3 linked regions of the Drosophila melanogaster genome follow. The gene in region 2 interacts genetically with the main gene of each other region. Each region holds a gene or a part of one and is shown on either strand. Other genes may lie near its edges.

Region 1 (9,500 bases), on a different chromosome or scaffold from region 2:
ACTGTGCAAACGGATTCCGCTTATGATGCCATGATGATGGCTCCGCCTCTTCCCCCAATGATTCATTCATTGTTGCCCACTCTGTATCTCTACTCATCTCCGGCGGTCCAAGCAACCACCGGCGGCACTCGGCACTGGCACCACCAAACGCTAACCCACCGCATCACCACCCACCACCCAGCACACGGAACACCACCACCCACCACAAGTGCTCAGTGCAGCGAAATGCATGACGCAGATGGCAAAGTAAGGTATATGGGAACGAACGAGGTTGGGTTGGTTGCTGGCCATTCGGGGGTTTTCTAGCCAAAGTGGCGGGTTTTCAAAGAACTAATCTGCCCAAAGGACCAATTGTAATGTGAGCACATCACTAAAATAATCGATAGATTGCCATATCTGATGGGGTTTTGGGTGGCTGCCTGGGAGACTGGGGTGCGTATAAGCCTATTTGGGGCACTTCAGATGCAGCATTGCAGTGGTAGCGGCTGTCCTCCTTCATCCTTCAGCCAGCCGTCGGAAGAATGTCCACTCACACGTCACGGCTGTGGTGCTCTGCGCAATTAAGGCACCGCCGAGGACCCGGGTACCCACTGGTGATGACACCACGGCGCTGCTGCTGGGTCAGGTGGTATTGGAAATCGAAGACAATGGGGCTGCTTAAATTCATTTTAATAATTGCGTGTAAACCGCCCGTTGACGCAGGTGAAACGCAGGCGAGCAGGTGAGCCGGGCCAGTACATATACCTGGTCGAGTCGCGTCCATGTGGCCCGGCACTCGTGTGGAAACATTAGCACATGCCGGGAAAACGAGACCCGACTCCGAAAGTGTCCAATGCGACGGCGACGGCGATGACGTGCTAGCGCTAGAGATCAAGAATCCAGAGAGTCAAGCAGCCAAACAACAGCCAAGCGACCAAGCGAATCGCCCATCTAGCAACAGTCTAACAATCACTCTAATCGAGTCGTAAACCTGTTCATGTTGTTCCACCCAGCCATCTTGTTGGGTACCTAAGCGCTAGAAGGGACAGCCTATGGTGGCTATTCGTATGCGCTACAATTGGTTTTGTATCTGAACGGTGAGCTGCGCTACTCTTCATACATTGTTTACCATGCTATCGATGATATCATATCGAAATAAAGCTGTCAAAAGAACTGAAACTTCCGTTTTTGAAAAGCCTAACAACCCGATTAGAAGAAATCTATTAAGCACCGCATTAAGCTGAAAGAGCGAAAAACTTAATCGCCGTGAATACAAGCTGATGTGTGTGTTTTAGATACACATGCTAGCTGAAGCGTCTGGCTATCGATTGTGTTTGCATTGAGATTTGTTCGCACCTTTATGCTACAGCAAATTAATGACGCAACAACGTGTAAGTGCACTGGGAGAAATTCCTGAGGCAGGTCAGTAACGACAACGGTCGGGGAAAAATCCCTTGCGTTAGTTTCGTGTTCGAAAGGGCCATAAAATTTCCGAATCGACAGATGTTTGGGTTCCGGGAAGCAGGACCATCCATCCATTTCTGCCTGCTTGAGATCCTACCTACCCGGTGGTTGCCTGCATTTGAAACCGTTGTCTAACCTTGAAGTAACTACGGTCGTACCAACCAAGCCGATAACTCGAGAAATTGGCACAGGTTGTCCTCAGGAATCTAGATACCATTGTTCAACACCGAGAGGTGGTCTCACAAGCCCGATGAGCACGACTATTCGTATCGCGAGAGACCCACCAATCTTGGGCCGACGAGCGTCAAGCCACTCGAACGGATACTGAGAGTTCGGCGGACGGAAAGTGAGACAGTGACAGCCAGAGAAGAACGGTAGGCGGCCCATGGAAGCACAGCGAAATGGAGACGCAAATCGGCTTATCAGGCAGCGATGTTCAGGCAAAAAGTCATCGCTGCTCCTCAAATATGTGATAACTGAGTGGACGACGGGCCACGATTACAGGTGTTTACGTTCACCATGCCGCCTCGGTTGGGATGCCGCGGAACATGTTCGCCGGTTTTAATTAGCGATCCGCCTGTCGACAGTCGTCCGCTCGCTCTGTCGTCGACCGTATTATTCAGATTACCAGATATATAGCCTAGGTATTCGTATTTGCCATTGCTTTCGCACGAAAATAGCTGAAAGCGTGAGAGGCTGTCCAATCGAAACTCGACTGTTGGATACCCGGCAAACGATAGTTATTACCCTTTCGTCGATAGGCTACTGGAAATAGCACCAAGAACCTTATGTCTTCCGGTCGAATTCCTCTAGTATTACTTTATGGGTTGTTATTCCGCTCGTTAATGTGCACATTTTGAATGAACTTGAAGATCAACCTCGCAGTGATTGTCCCACTGATAACACAGATTTATAGAGAAGAGCCAGTACAACTCGAGCACGTTGACTACCAGGTGATATGGGCGATATGTTATAGCCTACTCGGCAGTTCCAGTTTCCCATATATTGGGCGATTCCTGAACCCACTGGGTTCGTGCGGCGAACGAAGCCATCACCATCAAATGGTCGAACCACAAGTGCGGGATCAACAGAAAGATTGGCACATGAAAAAAGAGTCAAGGGTGGACCCAATTCGACGAGTGATAGGCATTGGCATTTAAGTCGAAGTCTTTGGTGGGGCCATTAGGACTTAAGGATGTTTAATATTTCTGGAAATTGCCGATTTCGAAAACTAACCCTTAAATGTTTTCGAATCTTATGGGGTTGCAAATTGCTGTTTTCTTGCTATTTCTCCAGTTCTCTAATTCTAGTTTTAAGACGCATAATCCCGGAATAGAGCATTTCCCCGATTGCGTGCATCTAAATAGTTAGAATCTCAAAAATAGCTGCCCGCTTTCCTGGTCCGCGAAAATCACCTGCTTCCCCACACGTTACCAATCAATTGACCCCAATCCGCGACGACATTGCGTCCCACGCTGGTCCACTCTATAAATACGAATACCGTGCTGAATACAACACACAGCACACACATCTGCATCTGCGGCAACAATGCTGCAACACTTCTTCCCATCGGCAACATCCACATCCACTGTTCTGCTCTGTTCTGTTCTGTTCCACCGACGAACGGTCAGAACGCCACAGAGTGACTGCACCACACACACCACACACCACCATCGCCGCTACCAACCCCCAGACCCCGCCCCCAGGCCCACAAGCGCACCACTGGCGCGCGCAATTTTCAAATTTACCGCCAAACGCGCCCACAACCGTACTCACGGAACCCAAGCAGATTTTGTATGGAATTAATCAGGAAACCCACTCAACTTGTCATTTGCGGATCTAGTTTTGATCGCAGCGCCTCGGGAAAAAGCCCAAAATTAAGCGGATACTACCAGCTATAGCCTCGATCAGTCTCTGAACCGATCCGAACAAAGGTATTCAAGTTATAGGCAAAAATGTCTGCAACCGATTTGGCGCAAGAAGAAGCAAGCGGCAATTTCTAGCCATCGAACGGACGGCAAGCTCAGTCTTGTACGAACCGTCGACGGGAGCACATATCGGTGGTTAGCAAACCAAAGGAAAACGGATATTCCATACATCAGTGGGGCCTACGAGTAAATCCTTTTGCCTGCCGTAGCGCCGCCTGATATATGGCACCTCCTAAAGCCTTACTATATAGATACTATATTATCAGAAAATCACCGCAAAATAATATACCAAAAATCCAACGATCGCTCTGCTCTGGGCTGTTGTTGTTGTCTTATCGACTGCGGCTGTACAAATGCCGCGGCGATTTTTTGAGTGTATTGTATGGGCCAATGGCGTGGGAGAGAGAGAGCGAGTGAGCGTCGTAACGATTTCGGGGAGAGCGAAAAAGAGAGCAGCGAGAGCGTTTAAAGAAAGTTACTCTCTCCTCGAGAGGCAGTGCTTAAATAGACGGCCCGCAGCTGAATCGCATTCAGTGTGTTTGTGTGCTTCGTTCGGTGCGGTTCTCTCTGTCTCTCTCTCGCCTTCCCCGAGTATTTTGCGCTGGTTTTTTGTCAACAACAAGACAATCCACAAAACCAACCCGAATTGTTCTCTATATAACGCAGAAACTAAATAGTTCCGGAAAACCTCAAAGAAACCAATTCAAATATGTCGGCTGCTACGGAACAACAGAACAACGGCGATGTGGCCGTGGAGAAGGTGGCGGCAGATGATGTGTCTGCTGTCAAGGACGATCTCAAGGCGAAGGCGGCCGCCGAGGATAAGGCCGCTGCTGCCGATGCCGCCGGCGACGCGGCCGACAACGGTACGTCAAAGGACGGCGAGGATGCCGCCGATGCCGCCGCCGCTGCCCCCGCAAAGGAATCCGTGAAAGGCACCAAGAGGCCAGCAGAAGTGAGTACTGATCTATGTGACTAGGTAGTTGTTTACGCGGTAAAACCAAAAGGAGGCCCCTCTAATGATTCACTCCAAGCCAATATGCCAGTAGCATAGCATTGTTCGAGGAAAAATTCTAGAAATAGATATACACACGTTTTTCGGAACAGCGCACTCTCCCAATGGCTTACATATGCCCCCAAAAGAGAGAGCGTATAGCTGGCTCGGTTGTGCGTTTGTGTTGTTTACGATTAACCAAGATGATTGCGGGTCCGGCAATCAAAGATTATTGTTGTTAGGTTCAAATCGAGGTTAGGAGGGCCGCCGTGCTTATATAGGCGGGGAGTACAGTTAGCCAGGGCCTTTTCTTTGGTGGGGTGGGTAATGTGTTTTTAATAAACCCATAGGTCATTAGCATTGACGTGTCCGCTGAACAGCGTTACCCAGCAATAGATACATTGTGGCATTACGTCTATAACTCATACGCTTGGCCTTATTTATCAGTCGCTGTGGCTACGGGAATTGCAAATGCAAACGCAAACGCAATTCAGCGCGATGCCAATGCACTCTCTCAATGAAAACACACATTGCCGGCCGGTAAATTACTCATGTCATGTTTGGCCACTTTATTTTTGGTTAGTATCGCCAAGAGCACGCGGTATTCGAACAAGTTTTGGGGGCCTGAAGCAGTCGCATTCCATAATCGAGTAGCACATTTCTTGATAAAAATAAAATAGTTCGGCCAGTAAGGCAGATAAATTGGCAAATCAAGCGCTTTTCTCAGACTCAAACTCGAAATAAAAATGTACAGTTTAACGGGAGCGTTCTCTCGCTCTCTCTCTCTCTCCCCGGAGAAAGATAGATACAAATAGAGAGCGCTGCTAACTCTCTCCCTCGTAATTTGTATACACACCGTTTTGTCTGTTTGCGTATGTGCTTACATTTATCTTTCACTTTTTTTTCTGCTCTGCCTTATGCGTATTTATTTTAGTACATAAAACAAGACGGCTAAACAGGGTGTCGCAAAAGTTAGTTGGGTTTCTTCGGGATTCAATTGAATAATGATCATTATCCCATGATCATGAATTAGTTGAGATACGTTTGGCACGGATAATTCTTAGTGGTACAGTAACGAATTGTATAGATTTCAAGAATAGTTTTGAAAATTATTCGTTGGTTTCCATATCTTTCGATTCCAAACAACAGATTAGCTTTTGTCCCTATAAATGTATCTTCACGCTTAGAAAACACAAACTAAAACCTCTAACTAAATCAAGATACATTGATTACCCAGTTATAACACCAGTAATAGTAGGCTTAGTTCTTGCCAATACAGATACACCCTGTTCGTCTTAATCCTCTATTGGCCTTTTCTCGAGTTCTGGGTCTCGTGACTTATGCTGTAAGCGAAGTGAAAAAGGGGGGCGATGGGTGGCCATTAATTTTGCACATTTTTCCACAGTCCGATTGTTTTTCGCTTCTTCCGCTTTGTAACAGTCTGGTAAATAGGGCCCTTGTGTTGCGGCTTCTCTTCGACTTGGGAACGTGACCGCCTATATACTGCCATAAACCATATACCATTATGTGTATCTTGTTGTTGGTTGGTCAGCGGCAAAAGTTAAACCCACGCATGTTGTTGTTTTGCGCCTTTTTCGCTGCCGACGTCGCTGCAGCAGCTGTCGTTCGGATGGCTGTGAGTGAGAGCGAGAGATTCATTCATGCAGTTCAGGTACAGTTTACAGTGCTGCGGATTCAGATGCTCTCTCTCTGGCGCTCTCGCCCGCTCTCTATCTTACAGGGCACGCTTCGTTTCGTATCTCACGGATGCGGATACATATGTCGCTGCCGGCGTCGCTGCTTATTGTTTTTTTTTCCTTCCCCCTTATGTAGTAAATATGTCGCCTTGTACATACGGAGCACAGATGTAATGTAGCGCGGTTGCACTTGTAATCCACTCTCTCACGTACTCTCTCTCCCGCTGTCTCTTTTTGCCGCAGCGAATTACATTGGCGCGCGCATTTTTCAAATGTTTTTTTACGGCGAAAATAACGATTTTCGTCGCTGCTTGTTTTGTGTGCTGAAAATATACATTTTATGACTATGTACACACGCACAGGAAGTTGAGAGGGGTATTGGATGCCCTTGATCAAGGAGATGTGTGGGTTTGAGTTGGGCGCGTAGGACCATTTCGCTCCGTAATTCTCCCTAATATCCTTTAGTTTGTTTCTCAGATTAATATCAAAAATGCATAATTAATAGTGACGGGCCCCTTATTTCTGTTCAATAAACTTGCTTGTAATACAGTAAATCATCAGCGGAACAAAAACCAAAGGAACTCTACTAACTTCTCTTTTTTCGCTTCCAGGCCAAATCCGCAGAATCAAAGAAGGCCAAGAAGGCCGCGGCCGCCGATGGAGATTCCGATGAGGAAGAGGCTCTGGAGGAAATCATCGAGGGCGACAGTGAAATCGAGAGCGACGAGTACGACATCCCCTACGATGGTGAGGAGGATGACATTGAATGTGATGGTGAGTTCACGGAAGCACTTCCCTTTTCCACATCAATCTAATCCCCGGATTTTCCCTTTCCCTTACCCGCGCAGATGATGATGATGATAATGATGACGGTTCCGGCTCGGACGATCAGGCGTAATAATAATGTAGTCAAAAATACAAACAAAAACAAACAAAAATTTAAATTAATAATAAATAAAAGTTACAAGCAAAAACAAAACAAAAAAAATATAATAATAAACCAACAAGCAGAAAATAAACCACAACAAGGAGAAAATGAGGAGGAGGAGGAGAAAAAAACCACAAAAAAATCGCAAAAGTATATAATTTTTATGTTTAAGAAATAATTTTTTATTTCTTACCTTATTTTAATTGTATTTTATGTGTACTTTTTTTATAAAAAACTACAAAACAAACAAAAATTGTAATTGAAGGCATTTTCGTATAAACGCAACCTATACGGAATCCAACAAAAAGTAAACATCCCCACTATATACAAGAACAAAACAAAACCAAAATCTTTCTTTCCTTTATCTCATAAGTCCTAATTTAAACGCCCAGTTGATGCGTAAACCAAGATATACAAAGATTTCAAATGTAGCGTAAACGAAGCCCGCGAATTAAACACAGATACACTACACTCACACACACACACGATATTCAAATTCATTATTAAATTAGACGTTACATTTGTGAATGAATGATCGATCGAAAGAAGCAAAAATACAAAAGTGAACATTTGAAAATGAACATGATTATGAACATGAAAAAGAAACAGCAAATGCAATTAAATACAAAACAAATAAAACATAAAAATTGTATTTAAATAAATCGCAAAAATCATTGAAACCCCATACTCGACAAGCATTCAATGACACTCAAGTTTTAGCTATGGTTTCAAAAATTTCGCGCCCATTGTGGCCACAGTCACCCGAATTTCCCAAACCCAAGGCACTGGGACTTAGTTGGTCTTCGCTTTTGGGGCAAATACAAAAAAAAAAAACAAAAAAAAATGAAAGGAAAACATCGGGAAGTTTGAGTTCTAACCTTCTGTTTCGTTTCAGCATTTAACTATAAACTATGACTAATCTTAAGTACTTATGTCAGTATTAAAGCGAGGGCTTTATTATTCTGTTGATAAGTTGTGCGAGCGAGTCGTTGATAAGCCTAATTCATTTGTAAATTGTAAAAACCAACTCGAGAATCGAAAAACGAGCAAGAAAATAAACTTTTAATGTTACATGTATCTAATTAGTAAGGGCATCCAAACTATTTATACACACACCCCGTACGACGAGTTCTCAATATAAACATATAACGACTGATATTTCAAAACGAATCGTGCCCAGCTGGTCAATCACGGCACTCGACACCGAAACCACCCAACCACCACCATCCTCGAATCTAAACGATTTGTCCCGGAAAGACAGACCAGCCCAACATACACACACAATCCACCCACTGACCCAGATCCAAACTCCAAGAGGCTTAAAGCTGGTAATGCCAACCAGCAACTGAATAATTGAGTGCAATTAAACCAATATGCCCAAGATAAATCATCCGATTTGATAACTGATAAACAATAGCGATATCACAGACAATGTTAAAGAACTATGCATTTTTGTAAATACCAATTACTCATGTATCTGCTCCGTGCGAGAATAACATCTAGTAGCGCGAAAGGGCAAAAAGAGAAAAGAACCACGAATCGAAAACGAGAATAAGAAACAATTTTGAACGATGAAATAAATTATTGTAATTACGTAAAAGCGAAAACCGTACGTACATACCACCCATTTGGCATCTGTTCCGATGCCAATAAAAGTTTGTTTCAATTGCAGTTGGCCATTTTGGGTGGGGCAATCACCTCGCTTCGGTGTTCCCAGGGGTAGTAGTTCTTAGCCAGGAGCATGTACGTATGTAGGTACATAATTCATAGATTGGCCGCCCCTACATTACTCCGATCCATCCCTTCCATATCCCAGTTTTCGTTCGGGGGTTGACGAGCTGGTTCCCACAATCCTCCCTATGAAAGAAATCATATACTAAGGGATGATGGAAAAATTCAATCGGAAATTTCCTTTGATTAAGTACCTTTTTCGGATTGAAAATCGATTAGCCTTAGCAGATGCCTATTAAAAAAACGAATGATGAAATTCCGGGCTCTTCGTTGGGCAAATGAAGTTGAGCTACTTTTATATTCAAATTCAAATATAAGCGCAAAAATTTCTAAAAGTTTAAGAGCTTTTAAGTTTCATAAGCCATTTCTTTCATTTATTTCAACTTTTATTAAAATTATTCTCCATATTATTTAGTATCAAATTTAAGAATAAACGCCTAAAAAAGTTTATCTTTTAATTAAAATACAACTTTAATTTGATGCTATTGCACGAGTCATGATGATGCCAAGTACCTGGTGACCTTCAGTATGCACAAATGCTCGCCAGGAATGCGTCGCTCCATGAACTTAACAGCCCGGAACTGGAGGCCCTCTAAGTATTTGATAATCTCCTCCGGCTTGTTCTCCCGCAGCAGGAGTAGGTAGAGCACGCCTCGAGGCGAAAGAATGTCATCCAATTGCTTGAGTAGAATGTCCGTGACGCGTCGCCCGTCCTGTCCACCAGCCCAGGAGAAAACCAGATTGCGATCCGTTGAGGATTCGCTGTGCGAATCGAACTG
Region 2 (9,152 bases):
AAAAGTAAATTCTGACAAATTGGTAATGAAATATTCAACTCATTCTTAAGAGCAGCTTGCTAGGTGGGTTAATTCCCCATTTTCTTGCCAAATTTTTCGACCAATGCGTTTTTTATTCCCCACTCAGTTGATGACTAATACGCATGCAAGTTCCGCGAAAAGTCCGCCCCCGCGCCCCTCTGCATTCCACAGATAGTTGCCAGCCAAATTGCAACTCAATTATAAATTGCAAAGGGGAAAATGAAATGAATGAAAAAAAAACCAGGCGAAGAGCGAAACCGAAACCAAAGCCAAGAAAAAACCCAAAACAGTCGCAGTGTAAAATTGTAGCTTAGGCAGCGCCAAAAAATACTAATTTATCTGCGAGTTTCGCATGCTAACTACCACACACACAAGCGCAGAAGGAAAAAGAGCTCGAAAACATCAATGGAAATGCCACGAAAATGCTAGTTGAGCTTTGGAAAAACCATGAAATGTGCGAGTACGAGGAAAATCTTCCGCGTTTGTGTAATGCAGGAAGATTTTCCATGATGTTTGTTTTGTATTCGCTTTACATTTTCCCCGAGCTGCTGAAAGTACATATGTATATGCACGCTTGTAAGTTTTGCAATCACTGGAAAAAAAATAGGGCATATAATTAAGGCAATTCCAGGTATCCATAGGTATTATATTTCTTTAAAAAGTACAAATACAAAAGTTGACATTGTGGAAACTCAAACAATCAAGCGTGTTATTGAAAATTATTCAGCATACCTGTTTTTTTCAGTGCTTTGACAATTTTCCGTGGGATTTGCATGTGGCGCCAAAATATCTGTAGATCACCATGTCGATTCAAACGAATCGATGGTACGAATCTGCTGGAAAAGCGCATCATCTTCTCTGGATAGCTTGAGATATCGCAGATGCGAGATGGAAGATCGCAGTTCGCAGATCGGAGATCGCGCATATTGATGATCGAAGATCGAAGATCCGAGAGCGAAAGCACAAGCTCTGTGCGAAAGAAAGCAGGTGAGAGCGTCGTCCGCTCGTAAAGAGCTCAAAACATGACACCCCAGATGGGCCGCCAGCTCGTGGGGCGAAGGGTGAGGTGGGGGGGGGGAGCTGTAGCCGGTCAGGGGGTGGTCCGCTGGTGCGAGAGGGAGAAAGAAGCGAGGGGTAGGGGACACCGTGCGAAAGTGAAATCGAACCTTCGCTGCCGGCGTTTGCGCTTTTAAGCAGCAACAAAAACAACTAAGCCGGGCCGGTTTCAAAGTTTACGAGAGGCGCGACTGCGCACAGTGATTTAGAATAAAAAAAGAAATAATAAAAATGGTGTTAAAGGCGTACGTACACGTATTTTTTAATAATATTTACTTAATATTTAGTGTATTTCTAGGAATTTTTATAGATACTTTAAGTTTCATTATTCATTTAAAACAAAAACACTAAAGAAGATTTAATAATAAAGACTTATGTAGCAAAATAATACACTATGATACACTGTGCGCCGGAGAATTGACTTTTCACAAGTGCAGAGAGTGCGCCGCTGCTGGCTTTAATAATTAATAACAAAAAAAAAAAACGAATTTGTAAGAGTTTCGTTATTTTTACAGGCGGTGAATGAAAATCCGTTTCGGTTTTAATTTTGGCTCCTGCTGCCGGCAGCGCAGCTTTGCTTTTTGGCCCGGTCGTTGATCTTTGTCCGACTGGACTTTCGTCACCAAGCGTTTTGCATACGTGAGCGACCGCTCACTGACGCGCTGGCCGGGCCCCAAATCCGCGAATTATAATTACCCATCGATTGCCGGGTGGGTGGGTGACTTTTCCTGCGATTCGGACGCACTTGCCAAGTGCTAATTACGGACAGGATCCTTACTCGGTCACAGTCCGCAGAAATAAAGATGCAAAGCTCGTCTTTAATATTTGTTGGTATAAATCGTATGTCTTAAATAAAAAAATCAAATCAAATGCACCTTTTGGAACATTTATAAACTATAAAAGCTTAAAAACCTTGTGGGCATGCCAATTTAACCCATCTAAGGGTTATAAAATCACAAGTATTGCACATGACCAATAAGGCATTAGACTAAAATGTAAGTCTTATGCAGGGGCATACCCTAGTAATCATGTTGCTTTTCATATAGTTTCAATTATACGTAGACTTACTAATAGTCCTTACATTTACAATGTATATTTGGAGTGTGAAAATCTTTACGATCACGATGTCCAGAATTTCCCCTACCCTTTGGGCAAAATCATGATTGTGTCGAGCAGTTCCAGGGGCAATTGGCAATGCAAATCAATTTTCAGATCTTTGCAAATATGCAGCTTTAATTAGTTAATAAGTGGCGCTGACTAGCAGCTGACACCGTCGCGACATGGCCATGGCTTTGGGTGCTACCATGACTGTTGGCTATGGCTATGGCTACCCAGGATTCCTCAGACGACTGCCGCTGATAAAGCTGGACTGGACCACAAATGGGCGTCGAGCGCAATTAGCGCCATATATCAATTACCGAGCAGTGTGGCACTCCACTCCGCTCCACATTACGTATACGCAGACGACGCGCCGCTAAGGTGTTTTCATTATAAATCATTTATTCAAATTGCATATTACGCCGACCGACTGGCTGTGGTCAGCACCTCGGCCAAGCTGACCACTGCTCTGATTGGGTTCCGGCGTCGGATCTTGTCGCGAACAGCTGATCGATGGATCGGACTGATCGGATCGGATCGGGTGAGTACATGGTATGATAACCACTTGACGCCTTCCAAGCGGACAGCTGTCGGGCGGCGATCGCCGAGAAAAAACAATATTTAAATAAATAGGAGTTTTCAAAGAATTCAAGCTGCTACACTCCGAAACTACCAAGGGAACTAATGTGTCCTGGAACGAAAAGAAAAGGCAATCAATCAATTTGCATTATATATATTTTTGACTAAAGATCGTTTCAGCCGTTCTTATTAAAAAGACCATAGTCTTTGGGAAAACTCCATTTATTTTTAGCTATTGGGTAAATTACATAAATTAGTTTGTTATCCCGTTGGTACACATCAAGTTTATCCATAAAAGACATATCCATTTACAAATGATTCACATATATTTCGTGTTTTTCGAAAAGCTTCGATCGAAATTCAGAAATTGTAGCTAAGACATGCACCTTCTTTAGCTAGTTTTCAAACCCAAAGTGATCTCACTTATGGATGTAAAGAAAAATATAACAAAAATGATTTGTTTTCGTTTTTGGTAAAAAGTCATGTAAATAAAAATCACACGTATTCAAAACTGTGCGCTCTGTAAAATAACTTTCAGAATTATAGTTCTTAAGTATCGGTATAACGCTTAAGCATCTTAATTCAATTTTGATTTAAAAGATCAATCTATTAGGGCTGCATCATCGGATTTTTGTCTTTTTTATTTATCATGGTAAATGCAATATCCGTAAAATCCTTATAAAATACATCATGTTGGTATCAAATTCTCTATGTAAGTCTGTGCACTCAAACTGAGATTTTCATGGTGGACACCGACGGATTATCCTTAGTCGCTAATGCGAGTACTTTAAGTTCGTTGGTATCATCAAATTCAAAACTTACAAATTACTTGACTTTATCTCACAAGTTGGTCTTCAGTTACGCTTTATTATATTTTTTTTTTTTTAGTGGAACTTAAGCGAAGTATAGCGTTAGAATATTATATTGCAGCTGAAACCTATCATTGTGATTCCCTTTTGATAGCGGGAAAAAAAACACAATCATAAAATTGCACTAGGGTGGGTCGATTTCTTCGATTTGCAGAATATGAGTTTATAAAATTATACACTTCCTAATAAACAATAAAAGTGGTCACCGGTTCTGTGTATTAGGCTTGAAGGCAACTAATTTCAAAGTTTCACGAAAGTATAGAATTTTATAGAAACCCACTCTGCAAGTAAGATATTTTGAAATATGGGAATATATTATTATATTATATTACGTTGTACTTTTTTCCCAAAAGGTTATAAGTATTTTTGTAACGGTTTTTTGTTTTAATACATATATATATATTTTTAATTGTAAACACATAACCGTTTTTCCAGTTTGAATCAATCAAATCGAACCACTCTGCTGTTTGATAATGGAATGTAAATTAATTTAAAGGCGTAGCTAGTGCCCTTGCACCCTATCCATTTCCAGACCGCCCTCCTCCTCCATTTTGCTGAGGAACTTGATAACCCGCTGGTGAGGCTCCGATTGCCGGATCATATCGATGAGAGCCAGCAGCTTCTTGATGCCGATACACAATCGCTTACCCGCCATTTTCCTGGCAATGCTCTGCAGCTCCTCGGGACTAAACAAATCAGAATCATCCAGCACGGCAAGCACGTTCTCGGGAGTTGAGAGATTGGACACATGCAGGACGGACGTGAAAGCCGAGAGCATTTCCATCTCCTCGAGAACGTCCCGCCGGCTGGAAGTGCACAGGATCAGCAGTTTTCTACCCTTTGGCGGTTGCTTTTTCAGTAGAACCAATAGCGCCTGCAGCGTGAGATTAGAGTACCTGGGTCCAATTGGACCGTAGTCTAGCAATCGCTCCACATTGTCCACCACAATGCAGCTCAATGTGGAGCGATAGGCGTCGTCGAAGATCTTGCGGATGTGCAGGCACTTGGCTGACTCCGTAAATCCTACCATATCTTCCGGGGAGCAGACCTTAACGAATGGGAAATCACTCAACTGGGCCAGATTAGCGGCCAGCGCTGATTTGCCGGAGTTGGGAGCTCCTTCGATGAGAACAGACACCAGGCCAGAGCTCTCAGTGGCCTTCGCCTGCTGTACGGAGAGCATTCCGTCCTCCAGGAGTTCGGTGACCGGTGGGCCCCAGTTTATAATTCCGCGTGCCAGCAGATTTTCCAGCATCTCCTGGGCTGCTCCAAAGGCGGGCTTGATGTCGTTGTCCAATGCGTGCAGAAAGTCGGCTCGCGTAACACGCAGTTTTTCCATAGCCTCCGGGTCCACGTGAACCTTGGATCGTAGAAAAGCAAATGATGATGGTAATTTTAGAATAGTGGAACAGTCGAACGTTAATCGCTTTCTTGGTTTATCGAAACCAAATTACTCGAAATTAAACGAAACCCGAAACGCAAACCGAGAGATAAATGAAATAAGCGAATACGCCAAATAAATAAAATAACATTTCGATCCGAATGTGAATTAAGAGAACCCCCTTTCTTTGCTTTCACGCCATGCTGTGCATCATATACCTTGGAGTCCGCCTTTATTAACCGATTCATGGCCGTGGATTGGGCCGCTCTAACCAGACCCTCCAACTCTGCGCCACTGAAGTTCTTTGTCTTGGCCGCGATCTCATTGTTGTCCACATCGCTAGCTATCTTGTTAAAGTCACGCATCCGCTTGGTGTGGATATTCAGGATCTGGACGCGACCCTGCTCGTTGGGCAAGCTGATCTCCATTTGCACTTCCAAGCGTCCAGGTCGCAGCAGGGCCTCATCGATCATGTCCCGCCGGTTGGTCATTCCTATTACCAGGATGTTGTTCAACTGCTCCACGCCGTCGATCTTGGCTAGCAGTTGATTGACGACCGTGTCGTGGACACCACTATTACCGGCCACGGATCCGCGAGCCTTGCAAATGGCGTCGATCTCGTCGAAGATGATGATGTGCAGTCCACTGTTCGGTCCCAAGCGCTTTTCCTCCTCCTCGGCCTCGGCAAACAGTCGCCGGATATTGGCTTCTGATTCACCCACGTACTTGTCCAGGATCTGCGGTCCATTCACGATCTTGGGTTCGCGGGCATTCAGCATGGTACCTATTTGCCGGGCCATCAGGGTTTTTCCCGTGCCTGGTGGTCCGTACAACAGAATACCCTTAACGTGCTTGATGCCCAGTTGTTCGACAAGTTCCGGCGGAAAAACACGAGAGGCGAAGGCGCGTCGGAAAATCGCATTGAACTCTTTGTCTAGGCCACCAATGCCCATCTTGCCAAAGTCCCAGTCCGGATTTATGATGGACTGCCGCACGATCTTACCCTTGGAGCGACCCTGCAGATTTAGCACAGAGTTTTCGGCCTTCTCGAACTGCACCACCGTGTTACCGAGGATGCGGCCGAATCGTACGTTCCGAGTCTTCGGTAGGGAATCGCCCACTGTTCGGGGATCCACTGCCTCCAGCGTTTTTACAGCGAGGCCCAGGAATTTCTTGTCTTTGAACTGAAAGGCGGTAAACATCCTTATTAGCAAACGAACGATATATGTACATTAAGGAGCATGTTAGAAGAATTACTATGTTAAGATAGTTGCATTTCCTATGAGGGCAGCCTAACACACTATTTTTAGTTCATAAAAAAGGGGGACATTGTATGCTGAATTATTAAAAAAGATTTGGCAGAGAGCCAAAAAGATGATCTAAGGGAGAGTTACGTGTCTTTGGGTTTCTAATTGTTGGAGGTAAGCTACCTTGTTAATATTTGCATTAGGTCACCGTCTAAATGTGGAATATGAGATTCAGCATCTCATGACAATCAAGACACGTCAGTAAATATAAAATAACGAATATCGAATAACACAAATAACGAATATTCTCACTACCGCTATGCTATGAACGTATAAATCTTTTTGTAAAGTTATACAAAACCAAAATTATTATAAGTGCACACAATAAATGGTGAAATAATGAATAGGTGCGTCCGAGATAAACCGAGAACCCTCATTGAATTGGGTAGTATTTTAACTGGCTCTGGCATATATCACTAATCCTCTCCAGATTACTACCTTAGTTTCAGTCCTTTGCTATCTATTTTTCTATACTGCATACATTTATGGGGGAGCCACATCCACACCATTACCTGAAAGACGAGCGTTTGGCCGACGGTCAGCGGCATTCCGGCGAACTGCATGAGGAACTCCTTGGCCATCTCGTCGGAGTCGTAGGGCTCCTGCGTGGTGGTCTTCTTCTGCAGGAAGTCCGTCTCGAAGGAGACCAGTGTGATGATATCGGCGCTGGCATCGAATCGGTACGGCCGCACGTCTATTTCCTGGTTGATGGAGAGCGTGGCCCACTTGCGCTGGACCAGCGAGAATCCGACGTGGCCGAGCGGCAGCTCCGGCCCGCTGATCTTCTCCAGCGCGAAGATGTAGTGCAGCCCCGGGCCCGGCGAGATGTCCACATATCTGCAGGGTATCAAGCGGTGCGTCATTAGCATAAGCGAAAGTTTCCATAGGCTCGTACGCCCACGTAGGAAGTGGAAAAACAACAAAAACCAACACTCACTTGACCTCCTCCGTGAAATCGGACACATTCACAATCGCCTTGTTCGTCAGGGACAGCTCATCCGTTGGGCATTTGATCGCTCTCATCCGGTGGGCTTTTTCAATTGACATTTTCGTAGCAATTTTATAATATAATCCCGAAATTGTCTCAAACAGCTGATAGCCCGTTGAGGGAGTGCAACCCTGTTCGGCATTGCGTGTGTGTATGCACTGTGATTGCGAGCAAAAGATGCCTGCTACGGCACCTGCAGTGCAAATTTGAATTCATTGGCGCGCATTTGCATTTTCTAATAATACATATATCCCCCGCATTCAAGACTTCTTCGCTGTTGCTAAGCAGCTCTGCAGCACCAGGATTGGTGAAGAAAACAATCCAAAAAATGTGTTGTATCAAAAGCCAAATCCTCTAAGTAAATAACGATAAAATGGGTGGCATTTGCAATTCAAATATCTTTATTTTTACTTATATATATATAATATGGTAATAAAACTTGTTATGCCAATCACCAAAGACACTAGAACAATATAATATATATATATAATATATAATATATATTATATATATAATTATGTATATATATATATATTGGACAACGACATCAAGCCCGCCTTTGGAGCAGCCCAGGAGATGTTGGGCCCACCGGTCACCGAACTCCTGGAGGACGGAATGCTCTCCGTACAGCAGGCGAAGGCCACTGAGAGGTCTGGCCTGGTGTATATATAATATATATATAATATAATAATCTAGTATCTTTGCAATCACATTATCGGGCTGTTCATTTTAGTCTTAAGAACATTGCAATGCAATGGAAGCAAGTTCATCCAAAAAATAATGCAATATTATTTTTTTAGATGGTTTTTTTATGCTTACGTGGTTCTTTTAAATATAAAGCATTACTGAATTATTTGGAATCACTTGGAATTATTTTCCTGGAATTGTAGATACAATATTGCATTTCCTAACCTAACGTCTTAAATGTATTGAGGTACAAGTGGACTAGAATGGTTCCCTACCCATCCCATTGCTTCGCCCAATTTCTTCAGCAATTTGGCAGCTCGACGGTCGGGATTTAGGGAATTCACCCACGCAATCAAGTCAAGCAACCGTTTGATGCCAATGGAGACGTTGCGGCCATCCATGGCGATCTCGATTTGGCGTAGCTCCTCGGGCTCGAATCGTTTTGAAGCTTCCACTATGACCATAAGTTCTTTAGGCGTGGAAACATTTGGCACATTGTGAACTGAAGTGAAAACGGATAGCAAGCCCAGTTCCTCCAGGACATCGAGACGATTGCTTGTGCAAATGATGATGAGCTCGTGGCTGTTGGGCGGTTGTTTCTTCAGAAGAACCGTCAGCTTCTGCAGGAACTCCTTGGAGTACCGCTTACCCAGGGCGCCGTAACCAATGACACGCTCAAAGTCGTCAATGATGACGCAGCTGCGCCTGGAAACATAGGCGTCCTCCAAGACTTCCCGTATTCTCTGGCATTTTTCGGAATCGCTAAGTCCCAGCAATTCGGCCGACGAGATGTATTTTATAAAAGGGCAGTCTGTTTTCAAAGCCATTTGAGCGGCCACCGTAGTTAGGCCTGACTTGGGCTTACCTTCGACCAGATGGCAAGACCATCTTGGGCGTCCGGTGGACAGGAGATCATTCGGATCGAAAGCGGTACGATCTAGATATTCATATGGCATGAGCAGCTGGAGAGTCTCCTCCTGCCGGCCAAATCGTGGCTGAATGATCTTTACCGCGGCCAGGAGATCGACCTGAGTGACTTGAAGGCCCTTCGGGCATCTGGTGACGTGAGTGCGGACAATGGCTTCATGGAGGGCTTCTCGGACCAGTTGGCACAGCTCGTCCTCCGTGAAATTTTTGGTTTTCATTGCAATTTCGCGTGCGCAAAC
Region 3 (5,348 bases), on a different chromosome or scaffold from region 2:
CTGCGCCACTGTGCACACACACACACACACCCACTGAAAGCGAGCAACTCCCACAGTTCACTTTCATTGATAAACTCGGCTCTTCGCTCTTCTTCTTCCCCCATGCAAATCCAATTGTCTGCTACTTACTTTATTTATTTTTTATTTTTTTTTCCTTCGTGGTGTGTGTGACATCAATCAGCATCACATCGTTGTTGTTGCTGCTGCTGTTTTATTTATTTATTTCTTTTTTTCTCTGTTGCTCGACAATTGAAGCTAACCAACATTAAACTATAACTTCCTCACAAGCACACTGAACGCACACACACGCACAAGCTGCACGATCTTGCACTCTCAACAAAAACCAAAAAAATAAAAAAAATAACGAATTTCATACACTTTTTATCACGCCGATTGTAGTAAAATATTAATTAAAAAACAGGTGGCGCGCACAAGTACATTTGAGATAAACGCGGGCTTACAGATATTCAAATAAATGCAATTTATAGAACGATTTCTTAGTTTATAAAACAAAAATAAAGAGAAAAACAACCGTTTTTTTTGTAACCGTTGCAGTTCGATCACTTGCACTTTTTCACTCAATTAAGCTAGCATTTGAGCACCGGCAGCACATTTCCTGTGTCATTCCCGTTATTTTGGCAACTAATTCGGTTTGTTGATTAAAAGCGATCGCGATAAGCGTACGCCGTTTGTAAAGTTTGTAAACCAACTGAAAATTAACCGTAATCCGCGCGCGCAGCCTTCGCGAAATGAAACGCGACGGTTTGCAGTGTGACCGGCTAGCCGATCGGCGGGAAATGCGCTTTCGCTATCAGTGTGACCGTGCAGCTCGCTGCTAACTGCCTGTTAAGCAGCAATGTTAGCTAACAGTGCGCTTGAATAAAAAAAAAACTGTTGCTTATTTTGAATTTTTTGTTTATTATTACTTTAAATGAGCTAAACAATTGGCAAACAAACACTAATAGATTTTGGGCGGATTGTGCAGCATGCGCAACATTTTGCCGTACCAGGTCTTCGCCTCGGGCGGCACAACCACCGGCAGCTCGAGCAATTCGCCGCGGGAGAACTTGACGGTCCGATAGGAACGACGCTGCCAGGCCTTGGCCTTCACCCAGACGGGCCTGCCGGGATGCTCCTCGGCGCGATTGCTATCGGCATGCCCGGCGCCAGACGTGCCGAGGCTACCGATTTTGCGGGACATAACCGATGGCCTTGAGAAGCCCAGCGGTGCCAGGCCGAGCTCCAGATCCCGGACGCGGGCCAACAGACTTCGCGTTGAGCCCAGGCACATCTCGTGGGCCACCGTCATCTCGTCGAGTGCCTGCCGCTTGATCTCTGCATACTCCAAGCGAGACTGCGTGCGCTCGAGTATCTTCTTGTAGGCCTCCTTCAGGTGGCGACCCATCTTGAAGAGCTCACGCCAGCTGGCGTACAAGTCACGCGCGTAGCGATAGCGCTGCAGGCACTTGCCCGCCTCCAGTTGCTTGGTCAGGTGGAAGGAGAGGACGCGCTCGTGGTCCTGCCGACACCCGACCAGCTCCTTCGTCTGCCGTTGGAACAGACGATCCAGTGCCGAGATGCGTGCTCTGCCCAGTTCCGAGCAGCGAACGAGATCCGCCAGTTGCCTGCGAATGCGCAGGTTATTCCATTGCAGTTCTCGCAAGGCCGCCTCCCTGCTACCGTGCATGATCATCCAGCGCGAGTCCTCCGGTTCCAGGCCCTTGGCCAACGCCTCCTGTTCCTCCTCCCAACACGATCTGCCGCCGTCGCGCTCGTGAAAATCGATGGCCAACTGGGCCTGTATTTCGTCCAGCGTTCGATTCATGGCGCCAATCTCACGCTTCATTTGCGGCCAGGCTATCTCCTCGATTTGCTCCGGCGACTGCTCCTCCAACTCCTCGCTCCCATCGGATACGGATCCGTCGATGTCCGAGACGCAATCATGGTGAAACAACTCGTTCTTCCTCTTCATGCTTTGGGTCTTCACAAATGTCTTCATGTTTTTTGCATTAGATACAATGTATATATATTTTTTTTGTGTAGTGTTTTATTGTTGGGGTTTTTAACTAAAATGTGTGTGTGTGTGTGTTAGCTGTTGGGGATTGCTCAAAACCTACTTGTTTCCAATTCAATTGACAACTAACCCTGACCCAGTCAGTTAAGGATAAACACGTTAGTTGGGAAATTAACATATGTAATCTTGCAGCGAATCGCATTTACAAATTAAGCGCACTTATGGTTTACAACTGGGATTGGATTGGACAAAAAAAAAAAAAAAGAAAATGGTCAAGGGAAGAGGGGTGAGCTGTGCTCACTAGTCCTTGAACTTCCCCAGAACGATGTCCTTGTAGAAGGGCACGCAATTCATGCGCACATTCAGACGCGCGCACAGCAGGAAAATGCCCGATAGCTTGCGATGAATGGAGTATATCTCCTCGGGCGGCGGGCACAATCGATGCGCCACCATTGTGGGCACCAGGGCGGCCAATCTTTCGGTGGTATTCTGTCGACCGAAATCGAAATCACCGTCGTAGCGAAAGATCTCGCCCAATATCATCACCGCATCCACGTGCGCCTGCTCCATTTGCTTCGTCTCGTAGCCGGTTAGGAAGCCCATTTCGCGCGACATCTCCAAAACGCCCTGACGATTGTTCTCGGCGGCGCTCATGATCACCCGGCGATAGTTGCGGATGAATTCATGCCTATAGAAGCGCGTCGAACCGAAGTCGATCAGCATTAGCCGGCGACTGGGCGCATCGTACAGAAAGTTGGACCAATTCGGATCCGTCTGCATGCACTCAATCTCGAAGAGCTCGCGCAGGCAGAGCTTCAGCACGGATGCGGCTATGTGGCGGCGATGCTCGTAGCTGGAAGTGAATTTTCAATGAAGCCCATTGATTACTATATGCATGTGCGTTTGCATCATTAGCTTACCTCAGATCGAAACACTTATCGAGCGGCACACCGGGCACCAGTTCGGTGGTCAGAACGCTGGACGTGGTCAGATCGCGCACCACACGCGGTACATAGTACTCGGGATAGGGCGCGATCATTTCGCGAAACTTCTCCGTGTATTCCGCCTCGCGATCATAGTCCACCTCCCATTGCAACTCACGTTTGGCCACGCGCACCACATTGTCGATGAAGAAACCCTGTGGAAAGACATCCCACACCTTCAGCATGCCCACCAAATTGTCAATGTCGCTCTCGATGCTCTGGGCGACACCGGGATATTGGATCTTAATGGCCACATCCATGCCATCGCTCAGCGTTGCCCGATGCACCTGGCCAATGGAGGCAGCCGCAAAGGGTTTGTCCTCGAAACTCTTGAGACGCTGTCGCCAATCGGCACCCAATTGGGTGTTCATCACGCGTTCGACCTGCCAATCGGGCATATAGTCCGCCGCCTGACGCACCCGCTCAAACGCCTTGGCCAGTTGCGGCGACACAACGCTGGAATCTTGTATGCTCAGGATTTGTCCGATCTTCAGGGCAGCTCCTCTCACCTTGCATAGCGTGTCCACGATGCGTTCAGCATTGGCGGGACTGAGCAACGCCTCTCGCATGCTGGTCGAACCGCCCAGGCCGAGTGCACCCTTGGTCAGCTCGTTGAGGGTTCCCAGGCCCAGGCCGGCGAACAGGCCGCCAAAGGAGGCCATTCTGCCTATCCGGGAGGAGGGAACCTTGCGCTGTTTGGCCACCTTGCTCAGTTCGGGCACTTCAATGGCCGGCTGGTCGGACTTCTTCTTCGGCTGCGCATCTGGTGGCTGCTCCTCCACCTTGGCGCCCGCCACAAACCGCAGCACATTGTTTACATACTCCGTGTCCTGGGTAATGATGCCCGGATTGGTTGACGTTTCTTTTTTGGGCATGGTCTGGTTGCTTTTGGTTGCCGGGGTGCGCAAGCTAACACTACGATCTTTGTTCCGGCGCGAGAGTATCTCCTCGAACTCCTGCAGCGTTATGGATGATATATCCAAGTTGGCGGCGTCCCAACTTGCTGGATTTTGTGCCGTGGGTGTGGATTTACGAATTGAGGAGACTTGTGCAGGCTCAGAGATGGCCGATTCCTCGCGGGACATCTTGATTTTCGTCTCCAGCAGCGAGCAAATACCTTTGGCCACCACGTAGCCCCTTTCGCCCGTTTCTTTTACAGTTTGCTGCAGTTTTTTCAGCTCCTCGGTGGGATTTTGACTGGAACTTCTCACCAGCTGCTGTGTGTGCGCCACATTCTCGGCGATTAGCTCACGAATGCTTGAATTGCTCCACAGATGACGACCGTGGGCGAGATGCTCGCGCCCACACGCCTCCAACAAGATCCGCAGTCCCCGCAGCAGCGCCGCAGCTTCTTGTGCGGATCGCGACATCGCGGAGCGAGGAAATACTGGTTTATTGTGCACTGCTCTCGCGTGGGTGATTCGCTGGTGATGATCGGCGCGTAGGATTACGTAAATCTCGTAAAAATATCACAGCAAAAAAAGTTCAAAGAATCGCGTAATGTTGTGAAAATGCGGCGAAAATCAGCTGGCAAAACAGCTGACTGGCCATCTAGTGCTGCCATGCTGGCGTTTTAACAGTGGCACCATGGCATCTTGAGCTTTTTCTAGCTTTTAAAAGCCAGCTTGCTGCAGCACTAGATTTTGCACTGAAGCCAGTGCTGTTTCTTTGGCTCTTTTAGCTTGCTTCAGCTTTTATGCAAAATTAGAAAGAAACATTCAACAACTAAACAACTAAAAATTTAAATACTCCATAAAAACTAGGAATACTGCTTAAGTGGCCTGCTAACAGAGGCCACATTTATTCAGCGGCATACCTTAGGTCGTACAAAATTTTACTAAATTAAGTTTGTTTACCGAAATCCAGATCACACGTTAATATATATACACAGCTATATAAAGTTTCGTGACTAACTGGAGTTTAAGCTATTCAATTACACTATAGCCACGCAAATGGAATCCTACTTCCTGGGCAGGCGACCAGCACGCTCCATGGTGGCATCCTGGAGCTCCCAGGCGGGCCGATAGCCACCCAGATCGCAGGAGCAGACGGCATCGGAATTAGAACCACATTCACACTCGGCATCGGTGCGTCGGAGGTGCGGATTAGGCACTGTGTTCGCACGATTCCCGATCGAGGTGTAGCCCCGATCGTACAGGCTGCAATAGGGCACCGAGTTCAAGTGGATGTAGTGCCAGACGTCGTGGTAGCTCCACTCCAGCAGCGGATTCAGGCGCATCATCGGCGGCCAGTCGTTGTCCGTGGGCTAAAAAAAAAATCGAAATTAGCATCACTAGGCACTTGGGGTTTCCTAATAGGAAACAGCAGTTTCGAACTTTCCAAAACTATTT

The links. A genetic interaction does not mean that the proteins touch.
Region 1: of Nsf2 (region 2) and Bacc, changing one suppresses a phenotype caused by changing the other (phenotypic suppression), as found in Drosophila melanogaster (one study listed by BioGRID).
Region 3: of Nsf2 (region 2) and CG32650, changing one suppresses a phenotype caused by changing the other (phenotypic suppression), as found in Drosophila melanogaster (one study listed by BioGRID).

Annotation. Positions count from the first base shown.
Region 1 is NT_033779.5:2,749,335-2,758,834, forward strand, and holds Bacc (bacchus), read left to right. Parts: upstream 1-3,110; 5' UTR 3,111-3,506; intron 3,507-3,660; exon of another isoform or gene 3,661-3,734; intron 3,735-3,898; exon of another isoform or gene 3,899-4,037; 5' UTR 4,038-4,080; coding exon 4,081-4,326; intron 4,327-6,673; coding exon 6,674-6,836; intron 6,837-6,910; coding exon 6,911-6,960; 3' UTR 6,961-8,586; downstream 8,587-9,500. Other genes in the region: HemK2 (HemK methyltransferase 2), read right to left, coding at 9,216-9,500. UniProt on the Drosophila melanogaster protein: Negatively regulates tyramine beta-hydroxylase tbh and thus the conversion of tyramine (TA) to octopamine (OA).
Region 2 is NT_033777.3:13,830,555-13,839,706, forward strand, and holds Nsf2 (N-ethylmaleimide-sensitive factor 2), read right to left. Parts: upstream 7,438-9,152; 5' UTR 7,359-7,437; coding exon 7,249-7,358; intron 7,149-7,248; coding exon 6,824-7,148; intron 6,189-6,823; coding exon 5,223-6,188; intron 4,984-5,222; coding exon 4,126-4,983; 3' UTR 2,943-4,125; downstream 1-2,942. Other genes in the region: CG31495 (uncharacterized protein), read right to left, coding at 8,220-9,152. UniProt on the Drosophila melanogaster protein: Required for vesicle-mediated transport. Catalyzes the fusion of transport vesicles within the Golgi cisternae. Is also required for transport from the endoplasmic reticulum to the Golgi stack.
Region 3 is NC_004354.4:12,896,589-12,901,936, forward strand, and holds CG32650 (uncharacterized protein), read right to left. Parts: upstream 2,082-5,348; 5' UTR 2,000-2,081; coding exon 959-1,999; 3' UTR 915-958; downstream 1-914. Other genes in the region: Coq8 (coenzyme Q8), read right to left, coding at 2,315-2,867, 2,935-4,367; Flad1 (flavin adenine dinucleotide synthetase 1), read right to left, coding at 4,958-5,263.